Xenopus tropicalis: one gene and its partners. The protein of the gene in region 1 interacts with the protein of each later gene in a pairwise test. Links are inferred from orthologs where the notes say so. Each region holds a gene or a part of one and is shown in the gene's direction. Other genes may lie near its edges.

Region 1 (4,187 bases):
AACCCCTGTGTGTCTTCACCCTAAAGGGATGTTGGGAAATTGCTTGTAGAACTATTATGGCTTTCTTTCCATCTGTGGAATCAGGTATGTTTGTGTAGAAAAAATACATTTATATTTATTTCTAAAAGTTCATATAGTGTTTAACACCTTAAAGTTGCATAGTAGACAGTGGTAATAAATGCATTTTGCAATTGGTCTTTTTTTATTTGTTTTTTTTTTTAGCTTCAAGATGGTTGCTAGGGCTTATTTTCCATAGCAGCCAGGCAGTAGTTAGGAAGTCAGAATGCAGTATAAGTAGGAGATGACCTAAGTAGAAAAAAACAAAATGAGATTAACTTTAAAAATGCAACATTACTGGTGGGTCTCGAAAATGTTATAATAGGTTATGAAAAGTGAAAAAGTTATTTTAACATTGAAACATTGAAACATTTCAATTAACATTGAAATTATCCTTTAACTGTATCTTAACATGGCAGATCTGACCAATGTTGTGCCCATATTTCTAGGCATTCTAGTCAAAGTAATTGCAAATACCGTGTGGTATGGGGGAACCCAAATATGACCAGTGATGGTAATATTTAGTTGTATATTATTGGTGTATGTCTCCGGTTTTACCTTCATTTGCAGTGTTCAGCTTGTTGCATCACAAACACGTTGTTTGTCCAAATTGCATAAACATGCCATGGTACTGTCCCTTTATGTGAAGGTGTATGCAGTTTTAGGGAAGGCTGGCTGAGTATGTACAGTCTGTAGCTGAGTGTTGCCATGTAGAGCTGCTGCGAGGGTCTGTAAGTGCCTCATGTATCCGTTTCAGTCTGTAAGGTTCGCCTGCAGCATTACTCGCCCGCAGCAGTTATTCCTCCCTTCCTGCTGAAAAACAATCAGTCAATTAAATCTGTCTTTTTCATTTCATTGGCAGCCTGATCTGTGATGGGGGTCATGCCGTGCCATAGCCATGCTTTGGTTTTCTTCCTCCTCCCCAAATTAAATACTGTAATTTAATTTTAGCATTATTTCACCCTCTTTATTTCACCTAAAAGCCACGTCCAGTAAATGTCTTATCTGTAATGTTCTTTGTATGTTATTCTGTTACACAGATGTCAGTCTCCTGTTTGTCTCCTTTATGTCTGCTTTTTTACTGTTGCAGATTTTCTTTTTTTTCTCCCAATTATTTCTCCTGTTTGCCATGTGTAATGAGAGATGTCCCTTCCAGCCAGCCATGCAGGAGAGGAGGGGGAGGGAAAGGAAGAGAGAGGAGGGAGCAGGGTCTGGGAGGGGGAGGAAGGGGAGGGAGGAGTGGCAGAGTGGTGATAAATTACCCCTGGTGTCAGAAGGAGGAGCTTGATCCTGAGAGAGAGAAAGAGAGCAAGGCAGCAAAGAAAGATAGGAAGAAAGGAAGGAGACAGACACAAGGACAAAGAATTACACCGGGATCCTAAGCATTAGCCCCCTTTAGACTTCAGTTCGAGGTGCTCAGGGAGCTTACTGTGCTCCCCTATCTGCTTTGTCCTTTCCTCTTCTGCTGGTTTATGGAGAAGAATAAAATGGTTTCGCAGGTAAGGGCTGCAATGTCCCTGTGTCTGTTTTCCTTCCCTCTCTTCCTCAGTCTGCATGATTCCCTCCCCCCTTTCCTATTTACCTCTCCCCATCCTTTGTGTTTCTGTCTTTGTTACTGCTGCTAATTAGTACCATGTGGGGCTTTTCCACTCCTTCCCCATATCTGCCATTTCCCTCACTGTACTACAGATCAGAATAACATTCGCTCACAGCACACCTCTCACCCTCTGCTCAACCCCAGCTACATTTCCTAATCCATAACTGGCATTTCTGCCTCACCCCCCCCCTCGTCCTCAGTATTCCTAAACCAAACCCGTTCATAGTCCTTAAAATTCATAATGGCGTTTCTTACGAACCTGCGTGGAGGCTCGCTGTTTTATTGCTTAAAGCTATATTTTTGTTGTTTTTATACCTATTGTCTGCTCCCATGCATGTGACACAGAACTGCCTTTGTGTATTTATAGAAAGGCATATATGTATAAAATGCATTTTAGTTGGGGGGAAAATGACATTTATTGCTTTAAACAACTACAGTCTTTCTGTAAATGTTGTTCAGTGCTGTTCAGATGTATCTCACCCAAATATACACGGGGCATTCCCAAGATATCACTGGGCGTGCAGGGAATCCTATGCAGAGTGCTCCGCAGCAGTCTGCGATTCCAGTTAAAGGTGCTTATTATATCCACGTTACAGGGAGCGGGACAGCAATTTGAAGGTGAAAGTAATCAGGTGGTAGGCGGATGAGTGGCATACACACAGCCATTCAGCTTGAAATATGTTAACCTGGTGCAATGGGAAAGCTTGGAGGTTCTGAGGATTCCTACTACATGGCTAAGATTGGCAACCCTTGTTGCAGGGACAACACATTTATATAAAGGAAGGGAATTTATGTTTGTTTTTTTCTCTGTATTATACTGGTATAAGCAACCTTGCATTCTGCATTCATTTTTACTGGTATTTCTGAACAGAAATATAATATACAACAGGGAAAATAAGTATTGAACACATAAACATTTTTCTCAGTAAATATATTATTGATGGTGCTATTGACATGAAATTTATACCAAATGTTGGTAAAAACCCAAGTAATTCACACATATAAAGAAATCAAAACAAATAAGTCCTTAAATGAAGTAATATGTAATAAAGTCAAATGACACAGGGAATAAGTATTGAACACATGAAGAAAAGGAGGTGCAAAAAGGCATGGAAGGCCAAGAAACCTGCTGAAATCTGTCAGTATTTAGAAAGCAATCCTGCCCCCTATCAGTGCAAATTAATATCAGCTAGTTTAGTCCTAATTGATGGCCTATAAAAAGGTTTCTTATTACCAAGATATTGCACAAAGAGCATCTCATGATGGGTAAAAGCAACTTTGCAACCTTATTGTTGCAAAACATACTGATGGCATTGGTTACAGACGTATTTAGTGTGCACTGCTGTGGCCATAATCCGGAAGTGGAAAGAACATCATTTGACCCAAAACCGGCCACAATCAGGTGCTTCTCGCAAGATTTCTGACAGAGGAGTCAAAAGAAGAGTCAGAGGAATTGCCCAAGAGCCAAGGATCACTTGTGGAAAGCTTCAGAAAGACCTTGAATTTACAGGTACAGTTGTTTCAAAGGAAACAGTAAGTAATGTGCTCAACCAACATGGCCACTATGCATGCTCACTGTGCCAGACTCCACTGTTGAAGCTTGTTTAAAGTTTGCTGCACAACATTTGAACACGCCAATGAAATTCTCTTTGGATGTCATTGCACACATAATGTTTGGAGGAGAAATGGCACTACACATCACCCCTAAAACACCATACCAACAGTGAAGTTTGGAGGTGGGAACATCATGGTGTGGGGCTGTATTTCAGTATATGGTACTGGCAGACTTCATATAAATGAAGGAAGGATGAATGGAGAAATGTACCGGGACATTCTTAATAAGAATTTGCTGCCATCTACCAGGATGCTGAAGATGAAAGTAGGGATGACATTTCAGCAAGGCAATGATCCCAAACACACAGCCAAGGAAACTCTCAATAGCTGCTAGAATCAATCAATCACCCAACTTGAATCCAATTGAAACTGAAGATCAAAGGTTATAGAAGAGGACCCTGGAATCTTGAAGATTTGAAGACATTTTGTGTGGAAGAATGGGCCAAAATCACACCTGAGAAATGCATGTGACAAGTTTCTCTATACAGGGGGTGCCTTGAATTTGTCATTACCAAGAGCTTTTCTACTAAGAATTAAAGGAAAACTATACCCCCAAACAATGTAGGTCTCTATACAAATATATTGCATAAACGAACTCGTATGTAAAACCCTGCTTCATCTAAATAAACCATTTTCATAAAAATATACTTTTGATAGTAGTATGTGCCATTGGATAATCCTAAATAGAAAATTGCCATTTTAAGAATTAAGGGCTGCCTCCTGGGATCATAGGATTTACAGTGCACGCACACAAGCCAAGGCACACATACACACTAGGCCAATTAATGGACAGAGTTCTGCCTTTTGCCCCCACACTTCTTCCTGTTACAGATAGAGCTGCATTATTTCTGGTCATGTGATCCCTGAGGGAGCACTAAGCCCATCACTAAATGGTGGATCAAGGGAAAGGATGTAAGGG
Region 2 (4,111 bases), on another chromosome or scaffold:
TTGCAGAGGCCCCAGTCTTCAAACTGTCATTACCAAGGTCCAGTGTCCCTATAATAATTATACTTACAATATAATAATACAACGACATACCTCCCAACTGGGCCGATTTTCGCGGGACAGTCCCTTGTTAGACAGCTCAACCTGCAGTCCCGGATTCTTACTGAAAAGTCTCTCATTTCCCTTTGCACTGAAGCTAAAAAAGATACAAATTGAATTAAGAGCCCAGAAATCTTAACGAGCGTCACCTGCACTTAGATACATTGTTTCTCACATTTAATTAAATAAGTAGCTTTCGGCAGAGAGCCCAGAAGGTAAAAAGCCCCCCCTGCACTGAGATACAAGTGTAACTAATAAGCTAAACAGGTCTCTTGGGGGAACTGAGACTCACAGCTTAAAGGGCAACTTCACCTTCATTAGCAAAACTGTATTAACACATAAACCCCCCAGAAATGTGTTCAAACTTTCAATAACCTGCCAAATTTAGTCAAATGGGAGTGGTATTTAGGGGGTGTGGTTGAAAAAATGGGCGTGGTTAAAAAAACTTGCCACACTGCGTGCACCATTTGTTTTTGTCCCTCTTTCCATTTTCAAAATGTTGGGAGGTATGAATTAGCGGTTGTGTTGCCCCAGGGACCATCTTGGAGTCAGGAAGGGATGTTTTTCCCCTCTGGGGCAAATTAGAGAGGCTTCAGATGGGGTTTTTTGCTTTCCTCTGGGGCAACTAGCAGTTAGGCAGGTTATATATAGGCATTATGGTTGAACATGATAGACGTATGTCTTTTTTCAACCTAACTTACTATGTTACTATGTTACTATGTGTCAAGGGGGTGGCACATTGCTTCTCAATGCTTTTCTCCTAATTAGAGACTTTTATGAAGTCCCCTACAAAGGGCAGCCTGTAAAAAGGAAGCAAGTTTACGTATTTCCTTCATCAACCTTAGTTTATTTACTATAACCACCTGATTTGATGTAACTTATACATTTCCAGAGTAACTCTTTATTTCACAATCATTCCTAGAAAATATTTCAAACTGTGTCATACAAAGACGCGAATTTAACTCTATTTGCTAAAACCCGTTCTATATAAATACACCAAGATGGCGGTTGAAAGAACTAAGATCTTGCGTTCCACGCCTCCAGCTCAGTGATTCCCCCAGTGTGAGCGACCCGAAGCGGAAGTGACGCGCTTCTATATAAAAACACCAAAATGGCGGATGAAACGACTAAGATCTTGCGTTCCACGCCTCCAGTTCAGTCATCCGCCCAGTGTGAGCGACCGGAAGCGGTGGTGACGCGCTTATCCGTGCGCCGGCGGATAGTTAGAACCTTTGCGGCTAACGGGTTGCGTTCTGTGAAGCGTCAGGATGGCGGGGAAGAGCGGGGAGGAGAAGATGAAGGCGATGGAGGCGGAGATGGCGCTGTGAGTATCCTCTATGCTGTGTAGGGAGCTGCCAAGCTGTATAGTGAGAGTTTGTTGTGGTTAAAATGGTAAAGGGCAAGTTAACTTTCATACTGACTGGCTCCTTAGGGTGATACAGACCTGCTGGCTGTAGTGTCAGGGGTTAACCTGTTGCCACTCATGGGGCTCTTTCAATATAGCTCTATACTATGTAAAGGGCATATAAACCCAAACACTCTAATAAACGTCCCAGTTCACTTCATTGCAGTCTCTAGTGCATAAATGACTGGGGTGAATAGAGCGTAACAAGTGTAACCCCTTCTTGGCACTCCTGTATTGTGGGCTGTATTACTGGCTTAGGCAGGAGATTTGGCTCCCTTTGCAGATAAAAGGGGATTTTAGCGCAGTGCCTCCCCCTAGTGGACACTGAGGAGCACACCTCAAGGGGATTTCCACTAGGAATAATCACACACAGTTTGACTGAGAAACAGGGGAAAGAGTTCTCTGATCCCCCTACACCAAGGAACCCCAACCTTTCTTACTCGGGAGCCACAGTCAAATGTAAAAAGACTTGGGGAGCAACACAAGCACCATAAAAGTTCATGGAGGAGCCAAATAAGGGCTGTGATAGGGTGCATAGAGGCCCCTAATAGCCAATCAGCTTACAGGGGCTTTATTTGGTAGGAAATCTTGTTTTTATTCAACCAAAACTTGCCCCCAAGTCAGGAATTCAAAAATAACTCCCTGGTTTGGGGGCACGGAGAGCAACGCCCAAGGGGTTGGGGGAGCAGCGCCCAAGGGGTTGGGGGAGCAGCGCCCAAGGGGTTGGGGGAGCAGCGCCCAAGGGGTTGGGGGAGCAGCGCCCAAGGGGTTGGGGGAGCAGCGCCCAAGGGGTTGGGGGAGCAGCGCCCAAGGGGTTGGGGGAGCAGCGCCCAAGGGGTTGGGGGAGCAGCGCCCAAGGGGTTGGGGGAGCAGCGCCCAAGGGGTTGGGGGAGCAGCGCCCAAGGGGTTGGGGGAGCAGCGCCCAAGGGGTTGGGGGAGCAGCGCCCAAGGGGTTGGGGGAGCAGCGCCCAAGGGGTTGGGGAGCAACACAAGCACCATAAAAGTTCATGGAGGAGCCAAATAAGGGCTGTGATTGGCTATTAGGGGCCTCTATGCACCCTATCAGCTTACAGGGGCTTTATTTGGTAGGAAATCTTGTTTTTATTCAACCAAAACTTGCCCCCAAGTCAGGAATTCAAAAATAACTCCCTGGTTTGGGGGCACTGGGAGCAGCGCCCAAGGGGTTGGGGGAGCAGCGCCCAAGGGGTTGGGGGAGCAGCGCCCAAGGGGTTGGGGGAGCAGCGCCCAAGGGGTTGGGGGAGCAGCGCCCAAGGGGTTGGGGGAGCAGCGCCCAAGGGGTTGGGGGAGCAGCGCCCAAGGGGTTGGGGGAGCAGCGCCCAAGGGGTTGGGGGAGCAGCGCCCAAGGGGTTGGGGGAGCACCACAAGCACCATAAAAGTTCATGGAGGAGCCAAATAAGGGCTGTGATTGGCTATTAGGGGCCTCTATGCACCCTATCAGCTTACAGGGGGCTTTATTTGGTAGGAAATCTTGTTTTTATTCAACCAAAACTTGCCCCCAAGTCAGGAATTCAAAAATAACTCCCTGGTTTGGGGGCACTGGGAGCAACATCCAAGGGGTTGGGGAGCAGCATGTTCCCCCCGAGCCACTGGTTGGGGATCACTGCCCTACACTATGTAAAGGGCATATAAACCCAAACACTCTAATAAACGTCCCAGTGCATTTTGGGATTTATATCCCATTCCAGTCTCTAGTGAATAAATGATTGGGGTGTCCTACTATGCAGAATAGAGCATAACAAGTCATAGGACTCTGCAGCAAAGGGTGTAGTAGAACTACAAGGCTCACTGTTTGTCTCACCCTTCCCTGTCATGTTTCTTCATTCTGCAGGTTTGAGCAGGAAGTACTGGGAGCTCCCGTGGCGCTGCCTCCAGTGGATCCCGTGCCCTTGCCCATCCCAGCTGTGCCTGTTATACGGGCGATTATTGCCACTAACACCTATAGCCAGGTAATGTATAGGGGGTAGTGGGGTAATGACCCTGGGGCACCCTAGTGTGGGTATTGCCCTGTGCAGACGGTGCCCCCATATTGAATGATATTATATATATATATATTTATGTGTATTTGTTGCTTCTCCTTACTCACAGGTGCAGCAGAGTCTAGAGGCGAGGGCAGCCGCTGCGGCCAGTGTCGTGGGGCCCATGATTGTTCCACCGGTGCCATTTGTTGGCCCAGGTATAGCTGCAATAATCTTATATATTCTGCCATAGCAAACTGGACTTGTTCACCTTTCAGTTAACTTTTAGTATGTGGTCAGTTCTAAGCAACTTTTCAATTGGTCTTCATTATTATTTTCCTTTTACTTCTGTCTCTGCAGCTCTCAAATGGGGGTCACTGACCCCGGCAGCCAAAACCTATTTCTCTGTGAGGCTCCAGTTTTATTGTTATTGTTACTTTTTTATTATTATTATTCAGCCCCTCTCCTATTCATATATCAGTCTCTCATCTAAACCACTCCCTGGTTGCTAAGGTAATTTGGACCCTAGCAACCAAATAGCTTCTAAAACTCCAAACTGCAGAGCTGCTGAACTGAAAATGAAATAATTAAAAAATTATGACCAATTGCAAAATGTTTTAGAAAATTACTCTCT
Region 3 (3,951 bases), about 55 Mb from region 1:
GTGGTACCTAAAGACTCAGCACACTCTCAGTCCTGTGTAGCTGTGAATGAGACAGCTATGTAGGGGAAAGAACATGTACACAGCGCAGCAACTGACGGCAGGGGACCTGGTAATCCAAGTGCAGCACAGCCAGGCCCCCCCCCCCCTTAAAATCCAAAACCCTTGGGGCCCAAAACAACTGCCCCCACCCCGATCTTGATGGCAGCCCTGCATTAGCACAAAATTATATGTTCTTGCAACTATATACAGAGTATTAGTAGACTGTGCCTTTTCCAAGAAAATCAATAAGTTAATATAGAGTGCTATTCTAATTTGCAATTGGTCATTTTTTATTATTGGTAGGTTCTTAATTATTTTACTTTTTGTTCGGCAGCTCTGCAGTTTGGCATTTAAGCAATTATCTGGTTGCTAGGGTGCAATTACCTTAGTAACCAGGGAGTGGTTTGAAAGAGTTACTGATATATGAATAGTAGAGGGCCTGAATAGATAGATTAAAAAAAGTAACAATAAATTTGTAACTTTGCAGAGCAATAGTTTTTTGGGCTGCTGGGGTCAATGGCCATTTTGAAAGCTGGAAAGAGGCAGAAGGTGGCAAATAATACAAAATAAAAAAAATGAAGACCAACTAAAAAGTTGCTTAGAAGTGGCCATTCTAGAACATATTAAAAGTTAACTTAAAGGTAAACAACCCCTTCAAGTGCCAGACTATAATACATTACCTTCCTGTAAGAAGCTTTTGGGCTGGCAGGACCTCACATATAGGGCTCTTTTATATAGAATTCTAAATCGCTGCTATTTATAATCCCTAACGCCGGGCCCTCTGTGCTTGCTGGGCCCATATTTAAGAAGTAGGTGGGTATGAATAATGTAAGCCTCTAGTAAAGCATCTGGGTCACAATAAACTAGGCTGGCTGAGGACTCTGTCTACACACTAAAAACTTATATATGCCAGGCTGTATTTCTCAAGCAATATATAGTTCAACATTGCACGTTAAAGTGCTGTTCATCTTGACGGTATACAAGAGGCTCCTCTTTTCCAGTTCGCTGGCACAAGTAAGCAACTCTTAGCAGCACAAAAAAATACATAACTTCGGTAGAAACTGGGTGGTAATGGCGAAAAATAAACAAGAAAACAAGAAAATATTTTCTGGTTCTTTTCATGTCCTCAACAAACGTAGGAGGTGCGACCAAAGGAAAAATAGATTTCAATTGAACCTCCAACAACTTGCAGTGTCCGACTGGGTTACACCGGCTCGTCACTTCCACTAGGCGGATACGTGATGCGTCATCGCGCTTACGTTTAGTCCTGACGCTAGTCTCGCGTGATGAGACTTGTGGCTTTGGGATTTGCTGTAAGACAGGAGGCTAGGAGCCTGCAGTTAACAGTTTTACGGGAGGTGTAAGTAGCGATACGGGACTGCGGGCTGCGCTTGGGAACTCGGGACTGCTGGGCTGTTTTACGGAATGCGGGGGACTATTTGGCAGTATAAAGCAGAGTAGGGCAAAGAACATTCAGGCGCCGTAGCAACCTAAATAGCTCCCGAACTCTGCAGCTCACTGACAGCAGGGGGGCCGGTATCCAAGTAGGTGTAGCACTGCCGGCCCCCACCTTAATGCTCAAAACCCGCTGGTCTAGGACGACTCCCCCCCCCCCCCCCCCCCCCTCTCCTTGGCGGCCTTGACAGGAGCCAGTAGACTAGAATAATATCTACATTTAGCGTGTTCAGTAGAATTGTTAAACATTTTGCAACACAATAATAAAATAAGAGCTGCCCACTCTTTCTGCCCGAATGTCTTTTTTAACGATGGGTTGAAGGTGGAGTTGCCCTTAAACAGAAGTTTGAATAGATCCTCTTTGAAAACATATCGTGTGTATAATTTATAGCAGAGTTAAATATTTATTGGTTTCCCCTGTGAGTGGGGAGGGCGTTAGTTTTGTGTGTTTGTGCGCAGTGGCTTGATACAGAAAAACCTTTGCTTTGTGTTGTATTTGTAATTTTATAAATGCATATTAGTCTTAGCATTGCAGAAAAATACTTTAAAATTGTCCTTAGTATATCAAATGGGGTAGGCTGCTTGTGAGAACCTGAATCCCAAATGCAAATGTATTTATATGCCTAGGTCGGTGCTATCCAACGTTTTACTTGTAAATTAAATTGTATTTGAAAGCAGTTTTTGTCTGCACTTTGCTGTTCCCTTCTGATTACAAAATAAATGTATCAAATCAGGTCTCCTCTTTGCACTCTTCTATTATTCTCCTTTTCAGATATGTTACAGAACATGAAAAGAAGGGAATAGAAAAGACAGCCATACACTGTAAGATCGACTCAAGGTCTCCAAAAAAAGCAGAACTTTTTCCTAATATATTCACCTTGGGGTGGGCGATATTAGATTTATCTGATCATTTGGCCTGAGGGCCAAACAATTGGATCACATTGATGGGATATAGACTGTTGGCATGAGGGCTGTGGGGAGCGCTTATTGCAGTTTATTGCTTCTTGAATATTGTTCTGTTATCATTTGTCGGTCACTATAAGTTGTCTTATTGATCCTGACATTATTGTGGTGGTGCAGTGACAGGGAAGAGTTTACTGAGGTCTAGAAACCAATAGCAGCTGCATCAGTGTTTCTCATGTTTTTCATGCTGTAACGGAACATTGAGTGCTACCTGTTGGTTGGATGTTATGGGTTACTAGATCTAGGAAAATGTTGTTCTTGTTACTATATATAGGCCTATAATTTGTATTTTTCTAGATTTGCTATTTTCATTTGTTTTATTCTAGTGTCTCTTATGCTAATCACTAATCTAATTAGATTCCCTTTTGTTTAGCTCTTAGAGTTTACAAGACATCCAAGGGATGTAAATGGAGTTATCAGAGGTTATTCCTGTGAGGCATCAATGAAGTTAATAAACTACAGAGATCCCAGGCAGAGTAGGAGACAATATGAAGCCTGCACATGAGAGGAGCCAGGAATGTCTTCCACCAAAGAAACGGGATCTGTCACAAAACAGTGTAAATGTGGAGGAGGAACCCAAGGTACCTGGCTCATCTGCTAATGAAAGTACAACAAGTGAAGCTTCAGGATGGCCGAGGAGTGTGTATGTGGCAGCAGGACAGGGACATGGAGTTAGTTATGAAGCTGCGGGGGAGGAAGCAGAAGCTGTAACTGTGGATCAGTATGCAACGTTTTACAAAGTTGCAGTGCCTGCTGCCTCCTTTTCCCCACCTGGTCTCCATCCTGTGATGAATATGAGCTCCATCCCATCATCCTTTAATGTAGCTTCTCCTTTGATACAGCACCCAGGTATTACTTATCCACCTATTCATTATGCTCCAATTCCACATACTGCTGTGCAGTTCCTTGGTTCCCCCTACGCAGTTCCATATACAGTTCCACCAGGCTTTCTTTCTCGAGCAGTGATATCACCTCCTGCCAACTTAGCTGCTTCTCATGTCCCTCACTATGTGCCATATAATTCTGTCCTTGTTGAGGGTGTGACTCCACCCTCAGAGGCTCAGTCTCCCCACTCCATAAGCAAACTTAACACTGCACAGTCTCCTTCAGTCCTAATGGGGGTGGTGCCAGTGGATGTTGCAAAGGGAAGAGTGCCTGTATTCTATCAGCATTCCTCTCAGCTGCCAGTAGCCTATCCTGTGAACGAAATGCTTCTGGCATGCCATTCTAACACAGAACTTTGTGCTCCTCCCCATGCGGGTAAAGACAGAGATATTCCAATCACTTCTACAAATGGGACACAAAGGATGCCTGATCATGTCTCTGGCCATAGGCCCAGTAAAGTAGTAGACCTTTACAGCCAAAATGCAGAGGAACAGCTTGGAAGGGGGCAAGAAAATATGGTGGATGGTGATGTTTACACAGGACTGGCAACACAAAGGACAGAGGCTTCTTTGCTAACCCACAGGAGCACCCCAGACACAGATTTGGAAG
Region 4 (3,500 bases), on another chromosome or scaffold:
ATTTTGTCAGTTTTTATGGCTCAGCTGCTTGTTTTTGATTTTGTTCAGAAGATTCAAATCCATTACGCCCCTTAAAACTGTGCTGCAATTTTTGTTGGTGTTATTTGAGCACTCTTATGTTTTTTAAACTGTATACACAACATGTGAAAACAATATGTAATATATTTTGAAAAATGTCCATATACTTTTTTTGAAATAGTATGTTCATTTTTTTCCTTCCAGTCACCAGATTCTATTCTAAAGCACGCCAGATACCTAGGTATGGTTGGTGTTTGGTGGATCATGATCATACTGCTGACCATCTGGACATTTATTCCCCATTGGCTGGAAGTCTTTTTAGATCATAGTTGATCTGTCTAGACTGAAAATTTCACCTGCCTGCATATTTTTGACAGTCCTTGAAAGCAATTATAGCTGTGGTAAAAGGTTACCTTGTGTGAGGTGTTTTCCCATACGAATAATGAACAGCAAATCAGAGATGTAAACTGATTTTAAGCAAGCTACACTAAAAAGACATCTATAATAACTATGTCTTTGCATGCTGTTTATAATTTTGCCATAGAAGTATTTGTCCGATGCTATACATTATCTACATCCATCATCTGCCTGATCCCCCGTGTTCCTCTATGAGGGGGTTGCCATATTTGTGCTGCAGTTGTTGGCAAACCAGTCAGGTTTAGGAATTTCGAGTAGCACTTACAGAAGCAAACCGATCAGCAAAAAATGATTAACACAACCTATAGGTAACTTTTTTTCGTAGATTCATATTTTTAAAAGGTTTTTCTTGTCCGTATCACTTTTAAGAATACATTCACCACCATTTTGAGCATGACTTTACCTGCAATGTTCTATGCATTTATCTCTTCAAAGAGCATCAATTAATTTATCCCCTATACTTTTGACCTGCTATGTTCAAGTTAAAGATCTAATGATTATCTACATCCATTTACATCAGTCATCAGTGAATGTGGGGGTGCAAAATAAAGCTTTGAAATATAAAAAGCCATCAAAAGATGCTTTTACTTTGCAGTCTCCTCTATGCAACATCAAAATATATTTTTGGAACATTGAAAGTGCCTTCCAGATTTATTTACAAAAAAAAAAAAGGTCTTTCCACTTTTTTTCATAGCACCAAAACACTATTTGATACCGTTATCCTATATCCCTAAGACCTGGCATTACCCAATATGTCTGGAAAAAATTCAGGTGGCCAAGAAATTCCCGGCATAACTCACCATTTGTGATAAATAATTAGGGATTTGGATTCTGTTGAACCCTTCGTAAAGGATTTGGCCAAATAATGAACCAAATTGAAATCTAAATTAGTATATGCTAATTTAGGCTTGGAGAAAAATTTTCAACTTAAAAATTCACATGATTTTTCGGATACGGTTCAGCCAGGACCATGAATTCGGCTGAATCTGAATCCTGCCCAAAAAAGCCGAATACCGAATCGATTCAATGCATCCCTAAAAATAATGGCTTCATAGTGTAATATTTGTGGTTCCTAAAATCACTACGTTTTTGTTATGTGAAACATATCTTTATAAAAAGGCCTCTAAATATTCTGTCAAATACTATATCTACAAATTACTTTTGGAAGTAAATGATATCATTCTTTATGCTGCTATTTTTGATTTATTTGTACCTTATCAGGTTCCTGGAATGCTTCATTGCTGTGCCAACTGAGCAAAATCAAGCCCAGTTATTTATTTATTTTTTTATTTGAAAAGGCTCTGTTAAGATACGTATACAGTAATATGAGAACACCTGCAAATTGTGTTGGAGGACACATTTTGATACACGTAACACTGACTAAGTTAGTGATTTCCTTTGCAATCTTTTATAGTGAGAAATAAGATTTGACTGTGCAAATATAAGCAGTTGTTTTATTGATCTTGATTATATGTTTTTTTTTATAGGAGGAACAAAACAGAGGCAAGCCTAACTGGGAGCATCTAAATGAAGATCTGCATGTATTGATAACAGTTGAAGATGCACAAAACAGAGCAGAAATTAAGTTAAAAAGAGCAGTGGAAGAGGTTAAGAAGCTGTTGGTCCCAGCAGTAAGTATAAGTAACTTTTTTTTCTACTGGCTTACCAGAAGACCAATTACAGCAAAAGTGCAAATTAAACACCACTGTTTATTTTACTATTATAGATTGGTCAATTTACATAATAATTTTTGGAGAAGCATATGTTGGCATAGTAGCTGTACTGTACCAAATAAATACAAAGATCATTCAGTTCCTGCTACACTACAGAGCAGAATACTGAGGTCAGACTTTATTGATTGACCATTCAGCTACTGTCTGTGTGACAATGTACTTTCCTACAGGCTCATACAAGCTAAAGATACTTTAAAGGAGAAGGAAAGGTAAAAACTAAGTAAGCTTTGACAGAAAGGTCTATGTAAATACAGCCCTAAACACTCATAGAAAAGCTGCAATGAGTCCTCTATCAAAAGAAACACAGGATTTATTTTCTCCTATTTTGTAAACATGTTGTTCAGGTGTCTGGTTTCCTCTCTCAGAAACATCCTTAATTCCTGGGGAGTCTGCAGAACTCTCCCCTCTTCTGCCCCCCCCCCCACAAGAATGCTAAGAACTCCCTCCCCCTCCCTTAGGAATGTGTAATCTGAGCTTTAATGGCTAGAGTTGCAGCAGGAAGTTACTTAAAATGGCAGCTGCTGTCTTAAGCAAATGGAGAAAACCTTCTAGAGCTGTGTACTTAGGTATGATAATGCTTTCTGTAGAATAAATATATTACTCTAGGTGGCACTAATGTGGCAAATCTATTGGCAGTAAAATGTCAAAATGACTTTCCTTCTCCTTTAAAAAAAGCTATGTAAAGATAAGTACAAGATTTCCAGGCGGCCTTAAGTAAACGGTTAAAGTGCTACATTCTTAAAGGCAGCATATTCTGCTTCAGTGGTTACATATCAGCTAGAACAGTGCTGTCCAACTGGCGGCCTGCGGGCCGCATGCGGCCCTCGGCCCCCCTCTGTGTGGCCCCCCCACCTGTCTGGCTGCTTTCATGGCTTACCTTTGTGTAAGCTTTAAATTGTATCAGTACTGAGATTAACTGCCCCCCCCTGCATGGTTCACACCTCAGATTCAGGCTGTAAACCCTCTGTATTGTTTAAAAATGTAATCCCCTGTGTTGTTTACACCTTTTAATCCCTACGTTGTTCACCCCCTGCAGTGTTCACGCCTCAGGCTCAGGCTGTAATCACCCACATTGTTCCCCTGTTCACACCTCAGACTGTAGGAGTAGTAGAAACCCACAAATAATCCCTGCACATTACAAAAAGAGCATATACTGAGGTGGTACTGCAATTAAAAAGTTTTTTAATATATTGTTATTGTGCAGACTGTAGGAGCAGTGCCAGCATTGTGTCACTGTATGCTGCCTGTGTGTGCCATACACACAGGCATCATAGGGCAAGCAGAGTATGGCACACACAGGCAGGGTAGGGAAGGCAGAGTATGGCAGGTTTT
Region 5 (4,279 bases), on another chromosome or scaffold:
GGGTAACGGGGGACGTTCCCCTGTGGGGCTGTGTAACTGACTGGGGGGAGGCTCGGGGGGTAACGGGGGATGTTCCCCTGGGGCTGTGTAACTGATGGGGGAGCTCGGGGGGTAACGGGGATGTTCCCCTGGTGGGGCTGTGTAACTGACTGGGGGGAGCTCGGGGGTAACGGGGGCTAACGGGGACGTTCCCCTGTGGGGCTGTGTAACTGACTGGGGGGAGCTCGGGGGGTAACGGGGGACGTTCCCTGTGGGCTGTGTAACTGACTGGGGGGAGCTCGGGGGTAACGGGGGGTATGTTCCCTGTGGGGCTGTGTAACTGACTGGGGGGAGCTCGGGGGGTAACGGGGGATGTCCCTGTGGGGCTGTGTAACTGACTGGGGGGACTCGGGGTAACGGGGGACGTTCCCTGTGGGGCTGTGTAACTGACTGGGGAGCTCGGGGAAGCCGGGTAACGGGGGACGTTCCTGTGGGGCTGTGTAACTGACTGGGGGGAGCTCGGGGGGAAGCTCGGGGGGGTAACGGGGGACGTTCCCCTGTGGGGCTGTGTAACTGACTGGGGGGAGCTCGGGGGTAACGGGGGACGTTCCCTGTGGGGCTGTGTAACTGACTGGGGACTCGGGGGAAGCTCGGGGGTAACGGGGTTCCCCTGTGGGGCTGTGTAACTGACTGGGGGGAGCTCGGGGGGTAACGGGGGACGTTCCCCTGTGGGGCTGTGTAACTGACTGGGGGAGCTCGGGGGGGGGTAACGGGGGACGTTCCCCTGTGGGGCTGTGTAACTGACTGGGGGGAGCTCGGGGGGTAACGGGGACGTTCCCCTGTGGGGCTGTGTAACTGACTGGGGGGCTCGGGGGTAACGGGGACGTTCCCCTGTGGGCTGTAACTGACTGGGGGAGCTTGGGGGGTAACGGGGGACGTTCCCTGTGGGGCTGTGTAACTGACTGGGGGGAGCTCGGGGGGTAACGGGGGAATCTTTATATCATTTCAGTTGGTTTCTGTGATTTATTTTGTACGGTGGTTGAATTATCGGTGTTTCTATTCCGTCCGTTTCCCACAAGGGTCACTGACCCTATCGACCACTAAACAGAACTCCTCTGATTGTTCCACTTCTATAGTTACGCTACCTGGTTACTAAGGTAATGGAGGCATAGCAACCACAATGCAGCTGCAATTTTTAAGCCTTGAAGTTCCAGATAAAAAAAACAAATCATAAAAACCACAGGTTCTTAGCTGAATGGGGAGTAACCCGAGTGGGGGCCCGACCTGCCCCTGCCCTTACTACCCCAGACTAATATTGCCCCCCCCCCAAGGTTATTAACCCCCACACCCCACACCCCACACTGCAGCCCAACCCACACTGCTCGCCTTGGGGGGTACAAGAGGGTAATTTGCCCCTAGAGCAGGGTAAATAGTGTCGGTTGCTGGGAGTTGTGGGACTATTGGAGGGGGGGGGGGGGCAGGAAGTCCCGCCCCCCATTTATAGCGCCCCCTGGGGCGGAACCTCCAATCACTTCGCTCTGTTCTCCCGGCTGAACGCGGAAGCTGAAAGTGTTGGGACCGGAAGTGAGTATGACGCAGTTCCGATCATGGCGGCCCCGGGAATGGAGCTGCTTTTCTCTCTGGTTTCCGCCGATATTTCCCGCCCGCCGGATCCGCTGATCTGTTTCATCCACTGGGAGTTAATCAGCCGCCGCCTGCGGTGCCTGGGCCGGGGGGAGGAGGTGAGAATAAAGCCCGGCACCCCCTCCCCTGAGTGTGAGTGAGGGCTGAGTGTGAGTGAGGGCTGAGTGTGTGTTACTACACAGTAAGGGGGGCTCGGCCTGTATCCGCTAATGGGGGAGGGGCTGAAACTTTATTATACAGTCTGTGTGTGAGTGTAACAACCCGCCCCCTCTCCTGGTGCCCCGCCCCCTCTCCTGGTGCCCCGCCCCCTCAGCCTGCAGCCTTGTGCCTTTATATGGGGGGCACAGAACCCCTCAGTGACTGCTAATATCCTTATCATTTACAGTAGGGGGCACATTATCCCTTATAATACATGAGTGATACTCAGAGTTCCCTGTATAACTCAGCCTGCAGCCTTGTGCCTTTATATGGGGGGCACAGAACCCCTCAGTGACTGCTAATATCCTTATCATTTACAGTAGGGGGTACATTATCCCTTATAATACATGAGTGATACTCAGAGTTCCCTGTATAACTCAGCCTGCAGCCTTGTGCCTTTATATGGGGGGCACAGAACCCCTCAGTGACTGCTAATATCCTTATCATTTACAGTAGGGGGTACATTATCCCTTATAATACATGAGTGATACTCAGAGTTCCCTGTATAACTCAGCCTGCAGCCTTGTGCCTTTATATGGGGGGCACAGAACCCCTCAGTGACTGCTAATATCCTTATCATTTACAGTAGGGGGTACATTATCCCTTATAATACATGAGTGATACTCAGAGTTCCCTGTATAACTCAGCCTGCAGCCTTGTGCCTTTATATGGGGGGCACAGAACCCCTCAGTGACTGCTAATATCCTTATCATTTACAGTAGGGGGTACATTATCCCTTATAATACATGAGTGATACTCAGAGTTCCCTGTATAACTCAGCCTGCAGCCTTGTGCCTTTATATGGGGGGCACAGAACCCCTCAGTGACTGCTAATATCCTTATCATTTACAGTAGGGGGTACATTATCCCTTATAATACATGAGTGATACTCAGAGTTCCCTGTATAACTCAGCCTGCAGCCTTGTGCCTTTATATGGGGGGCACAGAACCCCTCAGTGACTGCTAATATCCTTATCATTTACAGTAGGGGGTACAGTATCCCTTATAATACATGAGTGATACTCAGAGTTCCCTGTATAACTCAGCCTGCAGCCTTGTGCCTTTATATGGGGGGCACAGAACCCCTCAGTGACTGCTAATATCCTTATCATATACAGTAGGGGGTACATTATCCTTTCGATGCAGACTATGTGTCGCCCCCCGCAGGCAGCAGCGCAGGAGTCGGGGTCGGAGCGCCTCCCGGAGGGATGGGCACACAGTACGGACCTGTACACGCTGCGCTACGGGAGCCCAAACTCACAGTTTTTGCTGAAAGCCCTGACAGTAGAGGGCGCTGTGATTGTGCATCTCATGGTAAGGAGAATGCCCCCGGGGCACTAACCCACTCTGCCAGTACAATGCTGTGCCGGTGTGCCAGCCAATGAAACAGGAGCCCATTGATTCTGAGCAGCTGATTGGCTCTCTCCCACAGGACATGCAGACGGAGAAGGTTGCGGATGTGACGCTGCAAGTGTCCCGGTTCATTGACTCCGCCCACCTGCAGGAATACCCCAGGTCAGAGGCTGGGGGGCCCCGGGGGGGGGGGAGGTTATGGTGGGGTTCCCCTGGCTGCCGTTACATCAGGTAGGCGGGGGGTTATGTGGGGTTCCCCTGGGCTGCCGTTACACAGGCTGGGGGGGGTTATGGTGGGGTTCCCGGCTGGCTGCCGTTACACAGGTAGGGGGGGATATATAGGTGGGGTTCCCCTGGTTCTGCCGTACAGACACAGGTACGGGGGGGGTTATGGCTGGCGCTTCCCCTGGCTGCCCGTTACACAGGTGGGGGGGGTTCATCGGTGGGGTTCCCCTGAGCTGCCGTCTCACACAGGATAGGGGGGGGTTATGGTTGGGGTTACCCCTGGCTGCCGTTACACAGGTAGGGGGGGGTTATGGTGGGGTTCCCCTGGCTGCCGTTACACAGGTAGGGGGGGGTTATGGTGGGGTTCCCCTGGCTGCCGTTACAGCAGGTGGGGGGGTTATGGTGGGTTCCCCTGGCTGCCGTTACACATGTAGGGGGGTTATGGTGGGGTTCCCCTGGCTGCCGTAAATAAGAATAAATACACAGGTGTGGGGGGAGATATGGTGGGGTTCCCCTGGCTGCCGTTACACAGGTGGGGGGGTTATGGTGGGGTTCCCTGGCTGGTAGAACCGTTACACAGGTAGGGTTATGGTGGGGTTCCCCTGGCTGCCGTTACACAGGTGGGTAGGGGGGGGTTATGGTGGGGTTCCCCTGGCTGCCGTTACACAGGTAGGGGGGGGTTATGGTGGGGTTCCCCTGGCTGCCGTTACACAGGTAGGGGGGTTATGGTGGGCGTTACACATTTAGTGGTGGGGTGTCCCTGGCTGCCGTTACACAGGTGGGGGGTTATGGTGGGGTTCCCTGGCTGCCGTTACACAGGTAGGGGGGGGGTTATGGTGGGGTTCCCCTGGCTGCCATTACACAGGTAGGGGGGGTTATG
Region 6 (4,014 bases), on another chromosome or scaffold:
TAATGAAGGTACAAGTATTTCTAGGAGATCTGCTTCCTGAGGTAGCCTAGATTTGCCGCAGGTGATAAATCTCCTTGTCTCCCAGTATCCTAAGGCCCATAGGGAGATTAGTCACCTATTGTTAGATTGCCACCAGCAATAAAGTAAATTGCCGATGGGAAGACATATGCATTGCTTTGTTTTGTGAAGTTGTGCTGTTTCCTCCTGCAGGGAATTCACATTTCTGGGATTAGTTCCCAAAATTTTAGGGAGATTAGTTGGCCGCGGTAGCCAAGATTTAACCGTGGCCAACTAATCCTCCTGTGGGCTATTGCCCTTATGGTGATGGCACATGTGGAAATTAGTCTCCAAAAAATGCTTTCCCACCAGCAATAATGTAAATCACCACTGGGAAAACATACGCTTTGCTTTGTTCTTCTAAAGTTGAACGTAATTTTCTCACAAAGAATATCCAGAAGATTAGACACCTGTGGTAGAGCAGATATATCAAGGGTGACTAATTCCTATGTGTGCAGTCACCCCTAAGGCTGAGGCACATGTGGAGTTTAGTCACCTACGATTTACATTACTGCTGGTGGGAAAGCATTTTTAAGAGATTAGTAAACTGTGATAAAGCAGATTTAGCTCAAATCTCCAGGTCTCATTGCCATGGCTCTAAGCTCCCTCTTTTGTGGAATCCTAACAACAACAAGAATAAATGCATAAGAGCGCATTATCTTTGCTGGTTCCTACATTGTGTACTTCGCACCTTGGTGTAAACCTCTGCCTAAATTAACCTTACAGGAAAGTGTTAAGATCTATCGCTACAAATTGAAATAATATAAGGAGGGTAAGGCGGCACCCAGAACATTCAGGTATACTTGCACTGTAATAGATCCTACTCACCACTAGCACCAAACACAGTGCTTATCACTCTTTCCGCCCCCTCCACTCTCTCTTTCTCTCACCCTGCTGCCGCTGCCTATTTTCTATCTCTCGGCATTTCACCCTTTGACCTTGTCTGGAAATCGTCAATTTCTGAAGACGCTTTCAAGCACGGCTGATTTTTTAACTAAGAAATTGGACCCGATACTGATTTTTTCTCTCACCAGCCCTCCCTGCTCTCTAAACAGAGCAGCTCCCCACCCACAAACTGGGAGTTTTGTAGTCCCGGCTCTGAAGTTGCTTTAAGCCCTTCCCCTTCAGAAAGCAAAGGCTGCTCCTAACCCTAATCACCAACAGTCACTCGCAATCCCCCTTTCCTCTCTCACCCCCTCGCTTGCTTTCCTTATCACTCGTACAAACCACAGACTTCCTCATCTTACTTTTAAGACAAAACTCTGAAAGAACAAGAGCTTTATTATAATATTTGGATCTAAATGATATGCTTTTCATTAAACTAACCAGTAACCTGACTGCTTGAAACTAAGTTCCAGTCTTTCTCCAGCACTTCCCAGTATAAGGAAAGCGAAAAGTCTGCACTGTAGAAACTGACATTCACAGAAGCCTCTGCCCAGGAGACCACAATGAACAGCAACATAGCTGAAAAGGAGGGCTCTCAGGATGAGATCAGCCTTCCAGAAGAAGAGGTAGGTGGCTCTAATACAACCGAAATATTTTACTCATTATCCCTAGTCTGCACATGGTGTTATCCACTTGTGATGCCTGCTGATCATTCCAACTCCTATAGTTTGTTGTATAAAAATGCTTTTTTAAATGTTTCTTAAAAAGCTGTAATATTGATCAACAGAAATGTAGTTCAGTATACATGTTTGTGTGTTTACAAATGCTAAGTAAAAGCAGCTTAAATTTTGTATATTATTACATACACACACATGTATACCTTGTTATCAGTCACTGTTTGTGTGTATATATGTAGTGCGGTACCATTTTGTGGGCTTGTTGTTTTAGTAAGTGAGCAACCCTGGCTGTAGTCCCACAGTAAGATTTGTTTCTGGGGATTTGACAGATTCTATGTGTGGCAATTTAGGTCCGACCTCAGGAGTCAGTCAGTCGCATCCTCATTCATCCTTTAGGAGTGATGAGCATATGATTACCCTGTGACTTGTCAGATTTCATTTGTATGGAAAGAGTTCACATTCATCAAAATTGTATGTAATTGCATGCCTTAACTTTCATGCTGACATTCTGATGTGATCAAGCTCATGCAGTGGAGGACCACTTTCTATAGTGTGAATGTGAGATTGGTATTTTTTTAATGGGAGAAAACGACAAACTTAATTATTCTGGTTTGTAGATCAGAACAATTGCTTAGTTCTAAACAGTCAATCACATCAGCTTTTGATTGGAAGCATGATCTGCACAACTGTTGTTTTGTGAGTGCAGCATACAGTAAATCTGTTGTTTAAACAAATGTGTTCATAAATTGTTCAATAAATCCTAGGTGTCTTGAGTTTCTGGGATTTTCCTTAAAACACGGGAAGTTGTAATATATGAGTTGCAGTTCTCATTGCTGTGTATTTTTTAGGTGGTACAAAATGGTCCTTGTTTTGTCAAAATAGTAATATTAAAATTAAAAAGCCATAACCCTCTCTCACAGTTGGGTCCTTGCATTACTGTGTAGAGGAAGGAAATAGTGTTGTTAAACAATACCTCTCATGCTGCAAACAAATAAGGATAATGGATACCAGTTCTCAAGTGTGAACTAGCTCCTGCATTTCAACTATGAGATGCCCTTTAGGGCTTGTAATTACTAGCGTTTGTTTCTGCGTTTCACCGCAGGGGTGCACAGAAACAAACACATTTCATACTTCCCCATGTGCCTATGTGGTCCCTCTTCTTTACTAGGGCCTTATTGTCCAAGACAGCCCAGCAGACATTCCAGCAGGTGGAGGCCAAAAGGCAAGAGCCATGTGATCCCGCTTACTATATTAAACATTACAGGAAACAATTATAACATCCGTGAACCAATAGGGAAAAACTATTCTACCCAGGTATCTAGGTTACAGGTGCCAGGAATATGCAAAAAGAAGGGAAATCAGGCTAGTAGGGGATTCACAAACCCACAGGGCATTTAACTTACAATTCAGTAGAAGATTCAAACATCTTGAGTGTGGGAATTTTGCTTTTTAGTACCAGTACTTTTTGACCATGCACCATTCAGTGTGCGGTTCTCCTCTGTGTTTCTCAAGTCCAGGCCCAGGACAGTTGCCTATAGTTTACATACACATCACACATTTTCTTGCAAATTCGTCAATATTGGTATTTTTATATTCACTTCTTGTGTCAAATTTTCAGGTTTAACAAAATTGCATGCTAGTATGAAGATCAGCTGTTTTAAAAAAGGATTCTAGGAGCAGCTGCATTTTCCTCTGAACAGTAAGTGGAACATGCAAAGGACACTGGCTCCCTTAACAGCATTGTTTTGTCCTTGGAATAGTTGAATTCAGGTATACTGTTAGTGGCATGGTAGAACAAGGCAAATGATTAATAAATGTTTCAGTTGTTTGTAAAATAATGTGGAGAGTTTTTGATGCAAACAAAATATATATATATATATATATATATATATAAAATCACAAAATTTGGTAACAGGCACTCACAATACAGAGTCAAGGATGCCTGGGTGCAGTCCAATACGAAATAGTAAAACACAAAATAGCCGGTACCGCACTCACAGGTCTTATATAAAGATATTTATTCAAAAAATCGTGTCTAACGTTTCGGCTGCCATTGCAGCCTTTCTCAAAAAAGAAAGGCTGCAATGGCAGCCGAAACATTAGACACGATTTTTTGAATAAATATCTTTCTATAAGACCTGTGAGTGCGGTACCGGCTATTTTGTGTTTTATATATATATATATATATATATATATATATATATATATATATATACAGGATCTCTAATTTGTAAACCTGATATCCAGAAAGTTCCAAATTACAGGAAGGCCGTCTCTCCTACTGCCCATTTTAAGCAAATAATTCCAATACTTTAAAATTATTTTTTCTGTAATAATAAAATATTACCTTTTACTTGATGGTAACTAAGCTGCATAGATCCATAATGGTTGCAAA
Region 7 (3,500 bases), on another chromosome or scaffold:
AGATGCACAGTTAATGAAAGCAGGCAATAATAAACCAGCTTCCCAACATTATGAGACAAGACATGTGGTGGTGCACCCTAGTACTGATTATAGTACTCGGGATCCCTCAGGAGTTCGGACCTCAGTCATGGTAGTGCCTAACAGCAACACAACTGCCACAGACATGGATGTCTCACAAACTATTAAGAGAGAAACCTCACCTTTAGCAGCTCATAACAGGGGAAGCATACATTTAGGAAAGCAAACCCATCGGCCCTATGTTTTATCCCCACAGCAAACATTATGCCCAGAAGTAGTAAAAACTGTGGCTACATTATCTCCTCACACTGTCATCCAGACAACTCACAGTGCAGCAGAACAACTTTCTGTTGGTTTGCCTGCTGCTTTTTATGCGGGTACACAACAGCCAGTTATTGGCTATCTCAGCAGTCAGCAGCAAACCATTGGCTACCCTGGAAATTTGCCACAACACTTGGTGTTCCCTGGAACCCAGCCCTTACTTATACCTGTTGGCAATCCAGACATGGAATCATCTAGGGTTGGGGTTACACCTGGTATTGTGACGTCATCTCCCCAGTTTGCAGCAGTGCCTCATACATTTGTCACTACGCCCATTCCAAAAGGTGAAAACTACAGTGCTGAAACACTGGCAACTCAAACTGCCTACCAGGCTGCATTGGTCCCAGCTCAAATCCACCTCCCTGTTGTACAGTCTGTTGCTTCTCATATGGCAACTGCCCCTACACTGCCCCCTTACTTTATGAAAGGGTCAATCATACAGCTGGCCAATGGTGAGCTAAAGAAAGTAGAGGATTTAAAAACAGATGACTTCATACAAAGTGCAGATATTAGCAACGACTTGAAAATAGACTCCAGCACAGTGGAGAGAATTGAGAGCAGCCATAGTCCAGGCATAGCTGTGGTGCAGTTTGCTGTGGGAGAGCACCGGTCACAGGTGAGTAAAGGTTAAATTATCTTGCACTTAAAGATATTGTTGATATGGATCAAAGACAAAGTAGCTTTAGAAGCTTTTACCTAAGAGAGCGTCAGTTATTGTATTATTCTCATACAGAATATAAGGCTACTGCCACACCAGACTGATTCTCGGCCTGCATTTATCTACCCCTTTGCTTGCCTCAGCCTACTCTTATGACTGCACCTGGAGAAACTGCATGCGCCGGATGCAGACACATGGAGCAGATTTCATCACTGAAATGCATACTAATGCATTTTTAGTGCCAAAATCTGCTCCATGTGCCTGCACCTTGGCCAACTTTTTGGTTCTGGGTGCAGTCGCAAAAGTAGGCTGAGGCAAACATAGATGCTGATTATCATCCTGGTGTGGCATTACCCTAAGGGGTATATTTATCATGCTGTGTAAAAAGTGGAGTAAAACATCACCGGTGGTGTTGCTCATAGAAGCCAATCAGATGCTTTTCTTTCATTTTGTAACTGTTGAAATCTAATTGCTGATTGGTTGCCCTGGGCAACATCACCGGTAATGTTTCACTCCACTTTTTACACAGTATGATAAATATACCCCTAAATCTTTTAACCTATATGAAGTGGACATCTGTTTGTTAAAGTAGGGTAGTATGGAACAAAGCTGGTGTCAGATGAAGGCTGTTACTATATAGCTGTATTTCTTAACCTTTGGTCCCCAGATGCTGTTGAAATAAAACTCCAGAATTCCTCAACAGATAATCAGGGGTTAAAACCTACTAGGAGGTGCAGACCAACAATATTTAGGGATCTAAGAAGGGTCATATTGGTTTCCATTGTCATGTGCAGGATCTGTTATTCATAATCCCTGGGAATTGAGGTTTTATAGACAAAAGATTCATGTACTTTGCAATGCAATGAATCAACCTGCTAAACATTTTGTTGGGTTACATTATTCTGTTTGCACTCTCTCACACTGGGGCTGTTCAAGAGGAGCAATGAATAAAAGAATAAGCTTTTAAAAAAAATTCGACAGGAAAGAATGACACAACCACTTTTTGAAAAAAAATATTTTTTTAAAACCACAAATCTAATGAAATCATAAAACTAGGTTGGGCAAGAAGTCCCTATATACAGTAGGCCAAATAGTGAGTACAACTACAACTTTGAAATGTATGCAGATTTAAGTAATACATACACGTAACAGACACCTCTCAGTTTTCAAACATAAAAAGCCATATACAGTCTAAAAATGTTTATATCAGGGTTAAATGAATAGCACTAAATATGAAAAAGCCATTTTGGCTACAATATAATTCCTGTGCCCAACTGAACTGGTTTAATTTATTACATTTTATACCAGGCTGCCTAACACTGATTGAGCCCACCATAAGTGGCAGATTGAAAAATGTTACACATTATTATAGTCATTTATATTCTTTACAAAGATCAAATATTGAGAAAATGTTTACATCAAAATCTCTTTCCAGTTTGTTAAAGGTGATACTGTATTTTATTGTTTCATTAACTTCTATAGTAAAACAGTGGTAAAAACTTGCACCTACAATAAATTCCCCCGCCCACCTTTTCCTAAAAGACAAGTTTTTTTTATCACGTTATAAAAAAAAATTATATATATACAGCCTCCCACAAATGCACTGCACATCATACATTTTCAATGGCATTAAAGCCAAGTGCAAAGTGCAAAAGCCCACTCAAAATTGATATATGTATATTTATTGATATAACACATTTCTAAGAACTGAGTAGAAGATTGGCCATATAAGACTCTTATGCCTGCCCATAATAACATCTTCAGATAACTAATATCCTACAATTGTGCAATGGTGAAACAAGGAGTTCACAAAACAGGTACACTTGGCATTGCACATGGGGATAATTAACAGCTTTTCCTCTCTCAGAAACATCCTTAATTCCAGTGTCTGCGCAGTTCTCTCCCCTCTCCTGCTAAGAAGTCCCTTCCCTTTCCCTTAGGAATGTGTAATCTGAGCTATAACGGCTAGACTGCAGGCAGGAAGCTACTTAAAATGGCAGCTGCTATCTTAATCAAACGGAGAAAGCTTCTAAAGCTATTTACTCTGGTATGGTAATGGTTTCTGCAGAATAAATATATTGTTCTAGGTGGCACTAATGTGGCAAATCTATTGGCAATAAAATGCCAAAATAACTTTCCTTCTCCTTTAAGTCTGCTGAGACATCATTTAAATATTAAATAAACCCAATAGGTTTGTTTTGTCTCCAATAAGGAGTAATTATATCATAGTTGGGATCAAGTACAAGGTACTGTTTTATTATTACAGATAAAAAGGAAATTAAAAATGATTTCCTTATAATGGAGTCTATGGGAGACAGCCTTTCCTAACTCTGGAACTTTCTGGATAACCGGGTTCCGGATAATGTTCTTATAAATATCTTTATTTGATGTTCCTCTTGCATATCATTCCATTTTTTATTAACATTTTTGATTCTTAGGTTCACTGAACATATCAAACAGACAGCATAATGGGGAAGCTGCAGAAAATATGTGAATAATGAAA

The links.
Region 2: the proteins of rbfox2 (region 1) and rbm42 interact in a two-hybrid assay, tested with the Homo sapiens proteins (2 studies listed by BioGRID and IntAct). The link is inferred for Xenopus tropicalis from reciprocal best matches to the Homo sapiens genes RBFOX2 and RBM42.
Region 3: the proteins of rbfox2 (region 1) and atxn1l interact in binary tests that used the Homo sapiens proteins (3 or more experiments, as listed by UniProt). The link is inferred for Xenopus tropicalis from reciprocal best matches to the Homo sapiens genes RBFOX2 and ATXN1L.
Region 4: the proteins of rbfox2 (region 1) and qki interact in binary tests that used the Homo sapiens proteins (3 or more experiments, as listed by UniProt). The link is inferred for Xenopus tropicalis from reciprocal best matches to the Homo sapiens genes RBFOX2 and QKI.
Region 5: the proteins of rbfox2 (region 1) and psmf1 interact in a two-hybrid assay, tested with the Homo sapiens proteins (2 studies listed by BioGRID and IntAct). The two-hybrid records come from large-scale screens. The link is inferred for Xenopus tropicalis from reciprocal best matches to the Homo sapiens genes RBFOX2 and PSMF1.
Region 6: the proteins of rbfox2 (region 1) and rbpms interact in binary tests that used the Homo sapiens proteins (3 or more experiments, as listed by UniProt). The link is inferred for Xenopus tropicalis from reciprocal best matches to the Homo sapiens genes RBFOX2 and RBPMS.
Region 7: the proteins of rbfox2 (region 1) and atxn1 interact in binary tests that used the Homo sapiens proteins (3 or more experiments, as listed by UniProt). The link is inferred for Xenopus tropicalis from reciprocal best matches to the Homo sapiens genes RBFOX2 and ATXN1.

What each region holds. Positions count from the first base shown.
Region 1 is NC_030680.2:115,226,648-115,230,834, reverse strand, and holds the start of rbfox2 (RNA binding protein fox-1 homolog 2), read left to right. Parts: upstream 1-1,387; 5' UTR 1,388-1,529; coding exon 1,530-1,556; intron 1,557-4,187. UniProt on the Homo sapiens protein: RNA-binding protein that regulates alternative splicing events by binding to 5'-UGCAUGU-3' elements. Prevents binding of U2AF2 to the 3'-splice site.
Region 2 is NC_030683.2:128,977,846-128,981,956, forward strand, and holds the start of rbm42 (RNA-binding protein 42), read left to right. Parts: upstream 1-1,311; 5' UTR 1,312-1,364; coding exon 1,365-1,420; intron 1,421-3,350; coding exon 3,351-3,468; intron 3,469-3,607; coding exon 3,608-3,695; intron 3,696-4,111. UniProt on the Homo sapiens protein: Binds (via the RRM domain) to the 3'-untranslated region (UTR) of CDKN1A mRNA.
Region 3 is NC_030680.2:59,918,800-59,922,750, forward strand, and holds the start of atxn1l (ataxin-1-like), read left to right. Parts: upstream 1-1,151; 5' UTR 1,152-1,399; intron 1,400-1,424; exon of another isoform or gene 1,425-1,496; intron 1,497-2,830; 5' UTR 2,831-2,945; coding exon 2,946-3,951. UniProt on the Homo sapiens protein: Chromatin-binding factor that repress Notch signaling in the absence of Notch intracellular domain by acting as a CBF1 corepressor. Binds to the HEY promoter and might assist, along with NCOR2, RBPJ-mediated repression.
Region 4 is NC_030681.2:54,618,383-54,621,882, forward strand, and holds part of qki (protein quaking), read left to right. Parts: intron 1-1,922; coding exon 1,923-2,066; intron 2,067-3,500. UniProt on the Homo sapiens protein: RNA reader protein, which recognizes and binds specific RNAs, thereby regulating RNA metabolic processes, such as pre-mRNA splicing, circular RNA (circRNA) formation, mRNA export, mRNA stability and/or translation.
Region 5 is NC_030686.2:690,903-695,181, forward strand, and holds the start of psmf1 (proteasome inhibitor PI31 subunit), read left to right. Parts: upstream 1-1,479; 5' UTR 1,480-1,586; coding exon 1,587-1,721; intron 1,722-2,939; exon of another isoform or gene 2,940-2,961; coding exon of another isoform or gene 2,962-2,988; coding exon 2,989-3,135; intron 3,136-3,253; coding exon 3,254-3,336; intron 3,337-4,279. UniProt on the Homo sapiens protein: Plays an important role in control of proteasome function. Inhibits the hydrolysis of protein and peptide substrates by the 20S proteasome. Also inhibits the activation of the proteasome by the proteasome regulatory proteins PA700 and PA28.
Region 6 is NC_030677.2:83,961,183-83,965,196, reverse strand, and holds the start of rbpms (RNA-binding protein with multiple splicing), read left to right. Parts: upstream 1-1,214; 5' UTR 1,215-1,505; coding exon 1,506-1,568; intron 1,569-4,014.
Region 7 is NC_030682.2:93,429,300-93,432,799, forward strand, and holds part of atxn1 (ataxin-1), read left to right. Parts: coding exon 1-955; intron 956-3,500. UniProt on the Homo sapiens protein: Chromatin-binding factor that repress Notch signaling in the absence of Notch intracellular domain by acting as a CBF1 corepressor. Binds to the HEY promoter and might assist, along with NCOR2, RBPJ-mediated repression. Binds RNA in vitro.